2 linked regions of the Arabidopsis thaliana genome follow. The protein of the gene in region 2 purifies or fractionates together with the protein of the main gene of each other region. This does not show direct contact. Each region holds a gene or a part of one and is shown on either strand. Other genes may lie near its edges.

The links. Proteins that work in one complex are often made in the same cells at the same time.
Region 1: the proteins of SHD (region 2) and NAP1;2 fractionate together in Arabidopsis thaliana (co-fractionation; one large-scale study listed by BioGRID). This does not show direct contact.

The regions. Positions count from the first base shown.
Region 1 is NC_003071.7:8,435,203-8,442,292, reverse strand, and holds NAP1;2 (nucleosome assembly protein 1;2), read right to left. Parts: upstream 3,838-7,090; 5' UTR 3,693-3,837; coding exon 3,647-3,692; intron 3,543-3,646; coding exon 3,499-3,542; intron 3,271-3,498; coding exon 3,175-3,270; intron 3,046-3,174; coding exon 2,953-3,045; intron 2,731-2,952; coding exon 2,643-2,730; intron 2,539-2,642; coding exon 2,477-2,538; intron 2,395-2,476; coding exon 2,210-2,394; intron 2,127-2,209; coding exon 1,949-2,126; intron 1,862-1,948; coding exon 1,818-1,861; intron 1,735-1,817; coding exon 1,518-1,734; intron 1,422-1,517; coding exon 1,404-1,421; intron 1,322-1,403; coding exon 1,253-1,321; 3' UTR 792-1,252; downstream 1-791. Other genes in the region: RECA2 (recA DNA recombination family protein), read right to left, coding at 1-73, 264-321, 505-561; ckl5 (casein kinase I-like 5), read left to right, coding at 5,998-6,073, 6,145-6,185, 6,255-6,324, 6,405-6,553, 6,627-6,722, 6,808-6,878, 6,992-7,053. UniProt on the Arabidopsis thaliana protein: May modulate chromatin structure by regulation of nucleosome assembly/disassembly. May function in nucleotide excision repair (NER). Involved in somatic homologous recombination.
Region 2 is NC_003075.7:12,552,862-12,559,951, forward strand, and holds the start of SHD (Chaperone protein htpG family protein), read right to left. Parts: upstream 3,198-7,090; 5' UTR 2,991-3,197; coding exon 2,924-2,990; coding exon of another isoform or gene 2,920-2,923; intron 2,820-2,919; coding exon 2,702-2,819; intron 2,620-2,701; coding exon 2,466-2,619; intron 2,375-2,465; coding exon 2,294-2,374; intron 2,128-2,293; coding exon 2,016-2,127; intron 1,931-2,015; coding exon 1,804-1,930; intron 1,711-1,803; coding exon 1,572-1,710; intron 1,354-1,571; coding exon 1,239-1,353; intron 1,135-1,238; coding exon 941-1,134; intron 852-940; coding exon 636-851; intron 554-635; coding exon 388-553; intron 268-387; coding exon 126-267; intron 42-125; coding exon 1-41. Other genes in the region: AT4G24200 (Transcription elongation factor (TFIIS) family protein), read right to left, coding at 4,066-7,068. UniProt on the Arabidopsis thaliana protein: May have a molecular chaperone role in the processing of secreted materials. Required for shoot apical meristem (SAM), root apical meristem (RAM) and floral meristem (FM) formation, probably by regulating the folding of CLAVATA proteins (CLVs).

The DNA of each region.
Region 1 (7,090 bases), on a different chromosome or scaffold from region 2:
TGAAGAGCAATCTCCTTTTTCGACATACCTTCTTCAGATGATCCATTTCCATCTGACTTGGATTTCTTTTTAGCTTCAAAACAAAAACAATTGCAGAGTTAATGGCAAAAACCTCAACTTTAACAACCACAGTGAGCTAAGCAATCAGAAACGCAAACGGATTTAGCTCTAGTAATCTGTGGAAATACATATATTCATCAAAATCAAAAACCAATTTGAGTAAAATCGATTCATAGAAACAAAAGGTAAAAGCTTAAGACAACCTTTGGCAGCAAAGCCTCGGAGCTGAAACGATGTTCCAACCACACTTCTTCTAAGTAACTGCAAAACCCCATGAAACCCTTGTCAATAAACATTACCCAGAAAAAAAGAATGAATTCAAATTAAGAGACAACATTTCGGATTCTTTCTCATGAATGAATACCCAAATAAGCAATGAAAACGACAGTAACAGAGTTTTTTTAATTTCTCGTAATACCCAAATGAGAAACACGATAAACATACCTCTGACGAAAACAGAGAGCTTCTCAGTGAATAAACGTTTCGGAGAATCCTCGCCATAGAAAAGCACTAAAAAGCTTCTTCTCCACTTTTTTAAACCACAGATACAGAAACAAACCAAAAACTGGAAAATTCCAACTACCCAGAAGTCAGACTTGTATGAAAACGGAGAAGAAGAGAAATTTCACTGGAAAAAAAAAAGGAAGAGTTTTTTAGGGTTTTAGGTTTTCGTTTCCCTCCGTTTCAACTATTTTTTTTGGGTTTCTGTTGATCGGTCTTTTACAAGTCGGCAGAGATGTTTTTGACTTTTGTCTTTCCCAGAGAAACTCAAACCGATGTCTAAACCGGCTCATTGATGGGTTATGCAAACCGATAAATAAGATTGATTGGTTTTAATTATTTGACGGTTTGGTAATGTTGGTTTATAAAATTCGATCAATCTTAAGTAAACTAGATTGTCTCACAAATTCTCTCATTAACGAGGGAGGATAAATAGAATTGAATTCGAAATCTGACCAGAGAACGACATTAACTCGAAACAAATTCATAAGATCATTACAAAAGGAAAAATCAAGAGACACAAACCAAACCAAAGAACCCATTTTTTTTTTTTAAATAGCAAACCAATCACCCAAAACTGATATATAATAAACCGGACCATGACTCTGCAAATTAAAGAAACACAACCTCGGCTCAAAGACACTCTTCACTCTTCTTCTTCATCATAACTAAGCCAAGATTCTTCACTTCTTCACTGCTGCTTACATTCCGGTGGCCTCTCACCTGCTTGACCTTCCGCAAGTTGACTTCTTCCAGCCTTCTGTTCATTAAAAAAGGATACCTCAGGTTAGCCATTGCATTATCAACAAAAAAAAAAGATCGAGATTGATTGATTGTTAAACCTTGTGCCCAGCTGATGACTGCAACAAAACAAAAGATAAACCACCAAATCAGTTTCAGAGGTTTTAGTTTCCTATGTAGGAAGGTTTTAAGTAGAACAAAACCACATAATTTACCTTCTTTTTGCTCTTCTTTCCTTGATCTGCTTCTTCCTCCTCGTCATCATCCTCATCATCCTCCTCCTCGTCATCCTCATCATCTTCCTCGTCCTCTTCATCATCATCTTCATCAATCTCATCATCGTCGTCCTCAATATCAAGGTCATCTGCCTCAACAGCTTCACCAGTGAACCATGACACAGCATGCGAGATGATTTTCTCTTTGATTGTTGAACTACAGGATAAACAGTGGACAGACTCAGATCCTAGAACTGAACTAAGTGAAGAGAACTGAATATGAAATAGAAAGGTACACACCCGATATCATAATCATGCTCCATTTGTCCTTGGAGTTCATCAGCCTGTGAATATTAGATGATCAGATTAAAATCCAACACAATCTTAATTACTGACTCTAAAAACTAAACTGCTTATGGAGATGGAAATACCATGTCATCATCAAGATCCTCATCATCGTCAGGAACTTGAGGTGGACTGAAAAAGTTGAAGAAACTCTCACAGTCCTCAGTCTTAGTGATCGGCTTTGTGTTTTTGGATCCTTTCTTTGGCTTCTTTTTTAGAATCTTCTGTGTCAAACACTTTCCAGGATACCACTCAATCTCCGTCCTGAACAGCAGTAAACGACAGTCAATAAAGACTTATTGTCTTCAGAACATAAACAGTAAATACTTGATAGAGCAAAACATTACCCGAGGGCCTTCTCAAGGATAGGCTCATCTTCATCAATCATGTGATATGTCTTGGTCAAGACAGTGTTCTTGAAGTAAGGATTCTGATCAAAGAAAAACTCAAGCTTGAACCCTTTTGGTTCTTCAACCCTACTCCACTTGATATCTTTGAGATACTTGAGAGCCCCTTCATCTCGCTCAGTTATCTAAAACCGTGGAAAAAACCACATAATGATAAAGAGAATCGCCATTTTATAAACCAAAAAGAAGAATATTCTAATAACGAACCTCTTCCGCAGTAATTTCATTGTTCTTCAATGCAATAAGCCAGAAATCTGGTACTCCTTTCTCTGCAGAAAGACAGTTTCATATCATATAAAAATCATGAGTTCACCATCATCATCATAAGATACTAAAAATAAACATGTTTCAGTAAAAGAATCGATAAACACACCTTCAGCTGATTTATCTTCTCCTTGTTCGGATTTTACTTCTTCAGCTGCACCTTCAACTTCGACCACACCATTCACAATCTCATATCGCTGTGATGCAGAAGGCAGAAGACCATCAATATCAGTTACAATCACGAATGATGCAGAAAGAAGTGAAAACCATGAAGCACTAATCATTCACGTAAGTAGCAACAGAGAGAAGTCTTATTAAACCTTTATCAATTGAGGTGTCATCATGTGTTTCAAAGATATTCTAATAATAGGAAACTAAAGACCATAAGAATCTCGCAGAATCAAAGACCGTATTCAAACCTTGGTATATAAAGGCTGATATAACTTTTGATACTTAGCTTCAAGAGCTGCTCTCTCCTCAAAGAATTTTGCTTCCATCTCATCATATTGGTTCTGCAAAGGTTAAAATACAAAAGGAATCAGATAAATTTGCTCCACCAAAAACTCATTAGACCTGAACAGCCAGCTAATTCAAAACCAATACAAAATCCAAGATCATCTAAAAGCTGAAAATTTACTCACCTGAATCTCTCTTAGAAACTCGACACGCTTCCTGACTGGTGGAGTCAAGTTTTCAAGGACATCAGAGTGTTGTCCAGCCAAATTCTGCAACTTGTTCTGCAGCAAACACGTAAATCAAATCAGGAAAAGTCACAAACTTTCAAACAACCAAATTAAGATGCATAGACAATCCTCAAAACCAAAGTCAAATTCTCTAAGCCATAAGAATCAAATCAATTTCTCAAAACTAGTCAGGAAGAGAAAACAATCCCTAAAAGTTACAAAGATGAATAGCCCAATCTCCAGATAGTCATACGCAAATCATATCGTGAAGAAAAAACTCACCTTAAGAGCATTAACAAGCCCGGCACGATCCTCCTCGTTAAGAGCTATAAGCAAAACACAAAACAAGAGAAGCTTTTTTCAATAAATCAAGAGAACAAAAGAGAATCCAGGCCTCATTCTATAGGACAATAAGATTATAATATCTTACCGGTGGAGAGATCGGACATGTTCATGCTGTCCTTGTCGTTGCTCATCTTCGCAAGAAAAGAATCTGGCGGAGGAAGAGGAAGGATAAGAAACCTTAAAACCCTAGATTTTTGGGGACAAATACGAGACAGAGAATATATATATAAATAACTAAAAGGGCTTTGAGAAAATGACCAGACCGAAATAAGACACAACTAAAGCGAAAATAACAAATTTTTACATCAAAATTTGGCATGAATATTTGTTTTTAACATTTAAGAGCATTTCTGTTGATTTTTTTTAAAAAAAGGCTTTTAAGAGCATTTCTATTGGTTAGAAGAAATCTAGGTTGCATGGAAACTCGCCCCGAGGTCTATTTCCCATTTCCGAAACGTTACGAAAACAGAAACTCTCCGGAAACATGAAAAACGTAACGGAAACGCGTTTTTTAAAAATTTATGTTTGGAAACACGATGGAAACTTACGTTTTAAAGATAGAAACTCATGTTTCCCAAATAGACATACGACAAATTTTTTTCAACTTTGAAAATTTAATAACTAAAATTAAAATTATTAAAATTATTAATACATATAACTAATTTTGGAAGACTTTGAGTTTTAAGATATTTCTTTTGATAAACCAGATTTGAAAAGAGCTTTATATTATCTTTGATGAAACTAATGAAAATGAAAATGTTGGTCTAAATTAACTATTTGAACTTGAACCTTTTAATTTTTATCTTTTAGAATTTTAGTTTATTTATTTAATATTGATGTTTTGGACTTGTATTGTTTAAACCATTTTTTCTTTAATATAGTTTTATGTTAATGTTATATATATATATATATATATATGTATGTATGTGTATACGTTTCCAATCCCTAATTTTAAGAAAAAATCGTTTCCAATCCCTAATTTTAAGAAAAAATCGTTTCTCGTTTCCGAAACGTTTCGTATTCGCGTTTTCGTTTCCATTTCATTGCAACATAGGAAGAAACTCACGAGTCTTTTGATGATAGAAGTTTATTTATTTAACTAAAAATTTATTTATTACAAAAGTTTAACCTAATCATCAAAAAACAAATGTATATAAAAAAAAAGTATGTCATGAGTTTCTCAAGTGAAAAAAGAGTCTACTTTCTTTTAGCTCGAAGACAATTCTCATATTCTCATGAATGCTAGCTGATCACATGTTAATGCTTAATCTGGATTGATGCATTGTCATGAGTCACTCAAATTTCATATTAGCACACTATAGTAAGCAAATCTGATTGGAAAACATCTAGTGAGATGCTGCTTTGTTAGTTTAGGGAAAAATGCTTATTTGGTCCTAAAGATTTCGACTTAAGAATAGAGAAATGGTAAAAAAATGTAGAACATCATGCCAATCAAATGATACAAAAGTAACATAACCACCAAACGCATTTGCATGATCTATCTAATATTATATGTACCTATTTTGGTTTAAGGTCATTAATAAACTTGTTGATTAGTTTTTAATAATTTTGTAAAGTTTCTCAAACAATTTCTTTATTTTTATGATATTTTTCACAACTTTATTTTGTAAAAAAAAAGGGTATGATATTTTTCACAACTTTATTTTATAAAAAAAAGGGTAGAAAGTCATAAACCAATAACACAATAATTTAATTCATTATAATAATCATAGATTCTTTGTTTTAAATGAATTACACAAAAAATTTAATAACTTTATAAAAATATGAATCCAATAACTCTACATTTATGAAGATTTTATATTACTTTTTACAAATCTTAAACTAATAACACCAAACTTTAACAAAAAATTGAAAAATCTTTATTGAATAACAACAAATTCTTCATAACATTTTAAGTCACTGAAACTTCGAATACATCACAAACCAATAACACTCCCTAAATAAATTTATATATATTACTAGAAGTCTGGTTATTTGTTTAAATGTTAAAAGATATATGAATTTGTAAACTTAAGAGATTTATGGAATTTAGGAAAATATAAAAACAAAATCCTTATTCTTATTATAAAGTTTCTAAGAAATATACTGTATATTTTTTTCACCGAATAAAGATATTTAATAAATTGAGAAAAGGAATAGAAAAGACCAAAAGCAACAGGCTAAGCGAGACACACACACACGCGCAGTCTTCTTCATCTTGCTTGCTTCTGGTTGCTTAACCAAAACACCATGGAATCTCCCTAAATTTCCTCACCTACTCACTTCCAATTTCAACCTGCTCGATTCTTCCCCTCTTCTTCGCAAAAGCCCTAGTTTTGATCATCGCACTTCACTCTCCTCCGCATGAGAAATCGAGAAATCCGCTCGACGTAGTAGATAGATAAAACCACAAAGTTAGGGTTTTTTCAATTGGGTATGGAACCTCGTGTTGGGAACAAGTTTCGCCTTGGCCGCAAAATTGGGAGCGGCTCTTTCGGAGAGATTTACCTCGGTTCGTTCCTCCCCTCTCTATACATATAAAATCTCTTCAATAGTCGTTTGATGAGACTGTTTTGATTGCAGGAACTGATGTTCAGACTAACGAAGAAGTTGCTATTAAGCTTGTGAGTGTTTCATCTCTTCAAAGTCCCAACTTGGATCATCAAAACTTAGTTTTTTTTGTGTGTGTGCAGGAAAGTGTGAAGACTGCGCATCCGCAATTGTCATATGAGTCGAGGATATATAGAGTTCTTCAGGGTGGAAGTATGCAATGAAATGTTTATCTCTATTGTTATTGAATTCTCATTTGGTTATTCATTTCTTGTGTATGTTCGTTAATGTAGCTGGGATTCCAAATATGAAATGGTATGGTGTTGAGGGGGACTACAATGTCTTAGTCATGGATTTGCTTGGTCCAAGTCTTGAAGATTTGTTTAGTTATTGCAAGAGGCAGTTTAGCTTGAAGACTGTTCTTATGCTTGCTGATCAAATGGTAATTATGCTTTGGATTGGTGTCTTGTCATTCTTAATGTAACTCTCTCACTGTTGGGTTTATCTTGTGTCAGATAAATCGTCTCGAGTTCATTCATTCTAAGTCGTATCTTCATCGTGATATAAAGCCGGATAATTTTCTCATGGGCTTAGGGAGGCGGGCAAATCAGGTTTTCTTACTTTTGCAAATTCTCTCAGTTGGATTTGTTTTTGGGGTCTCGCTATTGTATGACTGATTTTGGTCTCTTTCTCTAGGTCTACATCATAGACTATGGTTTGGCTAAGAAATATAGAGACAGCTCAACTCATAGACATATCCCATACAGGTAACAAGATTTTGGATGTCACAGATTCAGCATTTTCAGCATATTGTATGTCAGCTTCAGATTTCCTGACAACGGGTTCTTTATTGTTTGGATTTTACGTGTAAATGATTCAGGGAGAATAAAAGTCTAATTGGGACTCCGAGGTATGCCAGCTTGAACACTCACCTAGGGATTGGTATACTCCATCACTTTCTATAAACCCTCATGATAAT
Region 2 (7,090 bases):
TGTACTGATCCAGGGAAGTCAATTTTCCATCGGACTTTGTTCTGAAATAGCAAAATACAAATCTTTAGCCTGCTGGTGCTAATGAATGGACAGACGTGTATTAAAAAAAAAGTAACAGAGCTTACGTCTCAAAACGAAGAAGTTTTGCCAAGCGGTTCCTGTTAGCAGCATCCTCAATGATACCTAGTTTGACAGACTTGCCAAACTCGTTCCAGAATTTTGTGTATTGACCCTTCTTCTCATCGTTCTCACCAGACTTCTCCACATCTGCGTGCCAACAAGTCAATAAGCTTAGACCATGTTTCAGAAAGATGAAGCTACCAAATGGTAAAAAAAAGTGGAACGGTCAAAGTGGATTGATACCAAGAAACTTGTTTTATGGAATACCTTTTTTCTCATCATCATGGATTTCATCAGGATCTTCTTCAGCAAGCTTGCGGATCATATCAAGCGCCTTTCGGATAAGCTTCTTCTTAATTGTCTTTAAGCTGCTGTGTTGTTGAAGCATTTCTCTTGATACATTTAGAGGCAATGTGTCAGAGTCAACAAGACCCTGCAAAAGCAACTCACGTTAGGGATTTAGCCCATAAATTTGTATTGAAAGAACCCCTTAGTTTGTCTTTCAAGTAGTTTACCTTCAAGAAACTCAAATACTTAGGCAGAAGCTCATCAAATTCATCTGAGATGAACACCCTCCTGACATATAGCTTCAAGTTCGCCTTGTTGCTGTTGTAATAGCTCTCGTATAGATCATGGGGAGCTTTCGGAGGAACATACAACACAGCCTTGAATTCAACATCACCTTCAGCATTAAAGTGACTCCAAGCCATTGGCTTCTCGTCGGTAAAATCCTGTATAACAACTGGGGTCAGGGAAATCCACACGAAAATTTTACACCTAGTATGTAACAAGTATGATTTAGTTAACGCATGGTTTTCACCTTTGAGAGAGAGTGGTAGAATTTAGTGTACTCTTCCTCTGTCACCTCCTTTGGACTTCTCAGCCATATAGCCTTAACATCATTCAGAAGCTCCCATTCATAAACTGTTTCTTTCACCTTCTTGGTTTTCTGCTTTTTCTCACCATCTTCCTCCTCAGCATCTTCTTCCTTTTCTTCCTCGGTAGAGGTGGTTTCTGAAGTCAAGTACCATTACCAAAAATCAGGGCTGCCTAAACTGAAGGGAAAAAAGATAACACTGCAGCAGAAAATTATAATATGGTGTTTCATTAATACTCACCAGTTTCCTCATCAGCTGATTCATCTTCCTCAACTGGGACCTCGGTTTCAACCTCTTTGCTAGCCCAGAGGGAGATAGGGAAGTTAATGAATTCAGAATATCTCTTCACCAATTCCTGTAGTAGACAACAATGATCATTAGCAACCATAATGAGAGGATAAACAGAAATATTGAATAAGCAGTGCACTGAATTCATAATAATGCTGAACCACTTCCCCTCAGGAGAGTTTGGGGTTCTCTACAACAAACCCTGGGTTATTCTGGTTCTTTGCATTGCTTAATTTAGGTTTGTAACAAAAGAGAAATTTACTTTCTTATCAAAATATTACCCACCTTAAGTTTACTTTCTTCTAGGTACTCGCCAGCTTCATCCCTAAGATGTAATCTAATCTCGGTTCCACGTCCAAGAGGCTCATTCCATGTATCCTCGGAAACAGCAAATTTACCGTTAGCCTTTGATTCCCATACATACCTGAAAACGGAAAAGAAGTTATCAGAAAAGCTTTTCAATGATTTTACATGCCCACAAGTATATTGCCAAACAAAGCCCTCTAAATCAACTTACTGGCTGTCATCATTGTGCTTGCTAATGACTTCAATGTAGTCAGCAACAAGATAGGCAGAGTAGAATCCAACTCCAAATTGTCCAATAAGGTTCAAATCCCCACTTGATTGCATTTTCTCAACAAAAGCTGCGAAAGGCAAGATCTTAGAAATATGGAATTTATTGATCCATACTATTATGCAGGACAACGTATCACCACATAAGTAACGTACCTGACGTTCCAGATTTTGCTATGGTACCAAGGTTCTTGATTAAGTCTTCCTTAGTCATACCAATTCCCCGGTCTCGAATAGAAAGAATCTTCTTGGCTTTGTCTAGCTTAATCTGCATACCATAGCATAGTTACGGAGGTAAGAAAAAAGCTTACACTAGACACAATTCCAACGAAAGGCTAAATTTACTGAGATCAGCATTTGATAAAACAAATCGATGAAACTCTATTTTCAACACTCTCAAGCATAAAAATCATATTGAGAAACATGTAGCTAACCTGGATCTCAAGCTTAGCAGTGTCACCTTCACCCAAAACGTCTTTGTCAGTGAGTGCAAGGAACCTAATTTTGTCCAAGGCCTGAAAATCACCAACACAGACACTTATTAGTTCCCCTATTTAACGAGGTATCCCAAAAACTCACTAAAACAATGTACACGAAGCTGCTTACATCAGAAGCATTGGAGATCAACTCTCTTAAGAAAATGTCCTTGTTACTGTATAGAGAGTTGATAATAATGTCCATAAGCCGAGAAACCTCAGCTTGGAACTCAAACTTCTCCGCGTTACTGCGAAGCGTCTTCTTTGACATCGACTCAGACTCTCTGTCGATCAAACGAATTCGAATAAGGCAAGATTCAAGCAATCCAAGCGAAAGTTCTACCGTGAAACTAACAGAACACTAACCTATGAACTACATCGGAATCCGTCGATAAACCACCGTGACCACCAATTTTCTCCTCAACTTTTGGTGGATCTGTAACATCATCGGAACTCTCTTCTGCATTCGCGTGTAACTTTCTTCCTATGATAAACACCACAGAAATATCGCCATCATCAGCATATGAATCCTAAGCAACACTTATATCTATCTACTCAAAATCAACACATATATACATCGAAACGTACCTTGATCTGGAAGAAGAAACAGAAGCGAGAAAAGGAACAAAACGGACACGAGCGTCCTCTTCCTCATTGTTAGATCGGAGCCTTGGTTCTCTCAGTCTTTGCTTTCGGGTTACTCAGTGATGATGATGATTCAGCTCGATAGATCCGTATATAATAGGAAATGATTCAGTGATGTGTGAACTGTTTAGTTGCGTACACTTTAGTTTCTCCTGATTGGTTAGCTTCGTCATGATTTGCCAACGTGTCAGATCTAACGGATCGTATTGTGAGATAGCCACGTGGTAGTTTTGTATTGGAGCAAGGTTTTGTTCTTGACGTGGAGCGACGTGGATTTCGGGGTTGTGGCGTGGATGGACGACTTTTAAATTATCAAAGTATGCTAAATCAACGGTGATATTCGTTTACGTCCTAATTGGGACGATCGGACGGCTATATTTAGTTGTTTTACATGTGACAAATAACTATTGGATATTAGGATGCTATGCTTTTATTGATGTCGGATACAAAAGTAAAATGATGTTTTTCTTTGTACAACGATGATTATGCTTGCCAAGGTTATTACGTTTGGCTGGCTTTAATCGGTTGATGGCTAAAGTCTCGCCTAAAGGCGATACAATTTGTCAATTTGGGAAGATCATAGTCATCACTCATCCGTAGTAGCAATATGTATGCGCGGTTCAAAAATGGTAATGTCTATTTGGTCCCATTATTTATTGAAAGATACAACACGTGAGAGACTTCCTTCCTCACCAGAGACCTCCTTCGCTGCTTTCTTCCATGAACAGTTGTTCAGAAATGAGAGCATAACATATCGACGAATGGAACGAAAATGGACGCAACAGATTAATCAAACCACTAGAACCTTTTCTGTATCTTAAAACTATATATTTATTTATGGAGAAAAACCCAACAAGGTTAAAAAGAAGCTTGACATATACCAATGTTTGAACTAATCCTCCTATATGTTATGAAATAAAATAAAAAACCTGAAAAATGGGAAAACTGAGGAAATAAAAAAAAAAGAAGGAAAAGTTCAGCAAGACACTTTATAAGTTACCTCAAAACACTTGTCATCATCCTTTGACCAATCAATCAATTCATCAACCTATTCAAGAACCCATCTCCACCACTTTGTAGATCACTCACCTCCATGGAGGAAACTCCCAACGTGGCTCCGGCTCTTTTCGCTTTCCACCAATGCTGATAGAAGAACTCGATGAGGGCTCTACATTTGCTCCTGAATGCTCTCCCATAGCCCCGCTTTGTGAAGGTGATAGAAACTGCCTCAAATTTAGCGACTCTCTGTTTCCTATCTCAAGTCCAAACCCAGAGTTCTGATCAAAGTTTGGCCGCATTGATCCATTCGTACTAGGCGATCCACCCGCCAAGCTCATGAACATGTGTTGTTGAGGGAATGGTGGCTGCACATACGGCGCTGATCCGATTATTTGCGGCATCATCACTGGGGTACCTCTTGAATCCACCATGTATGGAATAGCAGTTCCAGGAACATACATGGGTGATGACATTGACAAACCAGGAGGACCAGTCAATCCGTTGTAGCCATACATAGGGGCTGGAGAAAAGGAGACACCAGGGGCTAGACCCAAAGAGTTTCCCGTTCTTCCCATGTGTAAACCTGTTGCAGGCTCGAGGGACTTGCCATTGGACAAGAACGAAGCCATCTGAGGTACAGAGTCTTTTCTGTCAGCTTCCACTTTTGTACCCAAGATAGATATACCTGGTTCTTCCAATTTGTGCCCCCCATAGGAGGCTGTACTCCATGGGTGCCGCCCATAGTAGGGACCCTGATCACGTGAATCAATGAAAAACTGTGGCCTGTCATTCAAATCAAAGTTTACTTCCTTGCCTGATTGTTGAGCAACTGACGATGAGGAGACAGGTGATGCGCTTTGCTGACCATTGTGACTTAAAAACAATCTTGTTTCCATCTTCGACTCAGAAGGTGGAGGCATCTCATCGTCCTCGTTCATACAATTCAAATCCAAGTTGAACTTGCTTGATCCTCGCAGACTGGCTTCATGTGAAGACTCTCCACCCCTAGAGTTTGATGAGGAGAAAGGAAACTGTTTCCAAGGAGTAAGATCTTCAACTTGATCATCTCCTACCTCAGCCACGTTCAGATCGATACCACGAGAAATCACCTGCTTTTCTCTTAAATCCCCACTAGGAACTTTATGAGGTAATGCTGAGTGAAATACACTCGTAGCAGCTGATCCTTTCCCGCTAAGAGATCTTTCCAAATGCCACGGTGCTGCTGCAGGCATTGCAGAAGATGAGACAGAAAATGAAACAGACATAGGAGCAGGGGTTGTAGATGTGGAGGACATAATGACATCTGTTTCATCAGGACATATATCTTGATTAAGATCAAAGCCACATGGGCTTTTCTCTCTGCCTACTTCAGATTTAGCAGCTGTTGCTAGGTGTCTTTCTTCAACATCACCACTTTCAGGTTTGTCATCTTTCTCATCCATTAGATCATCATCTCCAACATGAGGTTCCTCAAAGGAATGGTTTTCAGTCACTGATAATCCCTTAGATGGAGAACCTGTATGTACATCATCATCGCGGGAGTATTGCGAACCAGACTGCCCGCTTTCATCGGATAGTTCTTCTGAAGAACTATGAGAAGGTTCTCCAGAGTCCACTTCTCTTGCGACTTCCTGTGCGACTTTGGTAGCGACCTCCAAGGCATCCAAAATACCAAGATCAATATCAGTAGTTGTTTTGTCAATTGCTCCAAGGCGCTGGGATATGGTCATTGATCTAGAAGAGATGCGTTTTTTTCTCCGTTTTACTCTCCTCTTTTTGTCAGAATGACCCATATCATCTTTTCCTTCATTGTCAGCAAGACCAGTTAAATTGTCACTCTCAAATTTTCTACTTCTACCAAGGCCACCTGATAATCTTGATGAATTGTCAGAATCTTGATTGTCCGTCATATGAGTCAATGAAGACACCTGTTTGCTATTATGGGCTACGCTCACATCGTGCGACCCACATATCGTCCCAGACACATTCTTGCTCACCTCATTTGAATCAAGACTACTCTGCAAAAGACTATTTTTCTCCAACTCCATGCTGGCAACAATAGAATCAGAAGACACAGCTACGTGTCCTGCTGCACTAGATGTCCCTGCTTCACCCAATTTTTCAAGAAAATAGTTTGCCATCTGCTTTTCCTTGGGTATCTCAGCATCCAGTGGAGCATTTGATGGGCCTTCAGCACTATCACGCTCTAAATAAAGTAGGCTACTAGACCCAGTAGGCATAGTACCAAAAGTCGTTGGGCCACTTGTCTCCCCCATAGAGCTTTTTTCCTTCACAGAAAGTTTTTCTTGAACCTCTTTCATGATATCATCGGTACAAGAACCATTGAAAGTTTCAGTCATCGAATTAGAGCAGTGGGAATTCACGTTCGAGACAAACCCAGCCTTGTCGTTCTGCAGTCCCAAACCCTTATCTTGATCTGGGATGTTTCCTTCTGAGCATCCTGATAGCAAGGCTTCATCTGCTATTTCAGGACAATGTTTTTCACTAGTACTTTGCATCGAACAAAGTGTAACAGCAGATTTTTGCCCACTGCTCTCGATGCTTGCTGCTACAACTCTCATCTCATCTTCATGAATTTTGTTACAGCTTTCACTGTCATGTTCAGAGTGGTCATAATCATCCTTATCCTTCCAGCTACCAAAGAGCTTTCTCGCCTGATCCTGAACTCGAGAACTACCATGGTCCACAAGTTTCTTGACAGCAACCCATAACCCAGAAGAAACTAACTTGGAACTGTCTACACCTAGATTTTCAACAGCTTCTAACAAAGCAAGAATTGACTCCTCTACAGATCTGTCAACTGAATCGTTATCCAACATCTGAGCTTCAGCTAGCCAGCTACTTAAGTAAACAAGTCCATCTAAATTTACAAAAACATCAAGACAATCTCTGTTCTTTGTAGCCGCAATTGTGCTTGCAACAGCAGTCCATTGTCTAAAAGCATCACCACTATTCTTCAAAACTGAATCCTTATTACTCTGCATAACAGACACAAGCTCTTCAACACGAGAAGTGACCGTGAGTCCATCTTTTATTTCTGTTAGGGTAAAGAAATCTTCAAGCGTCATACTGCTTTACTTATGACAACTC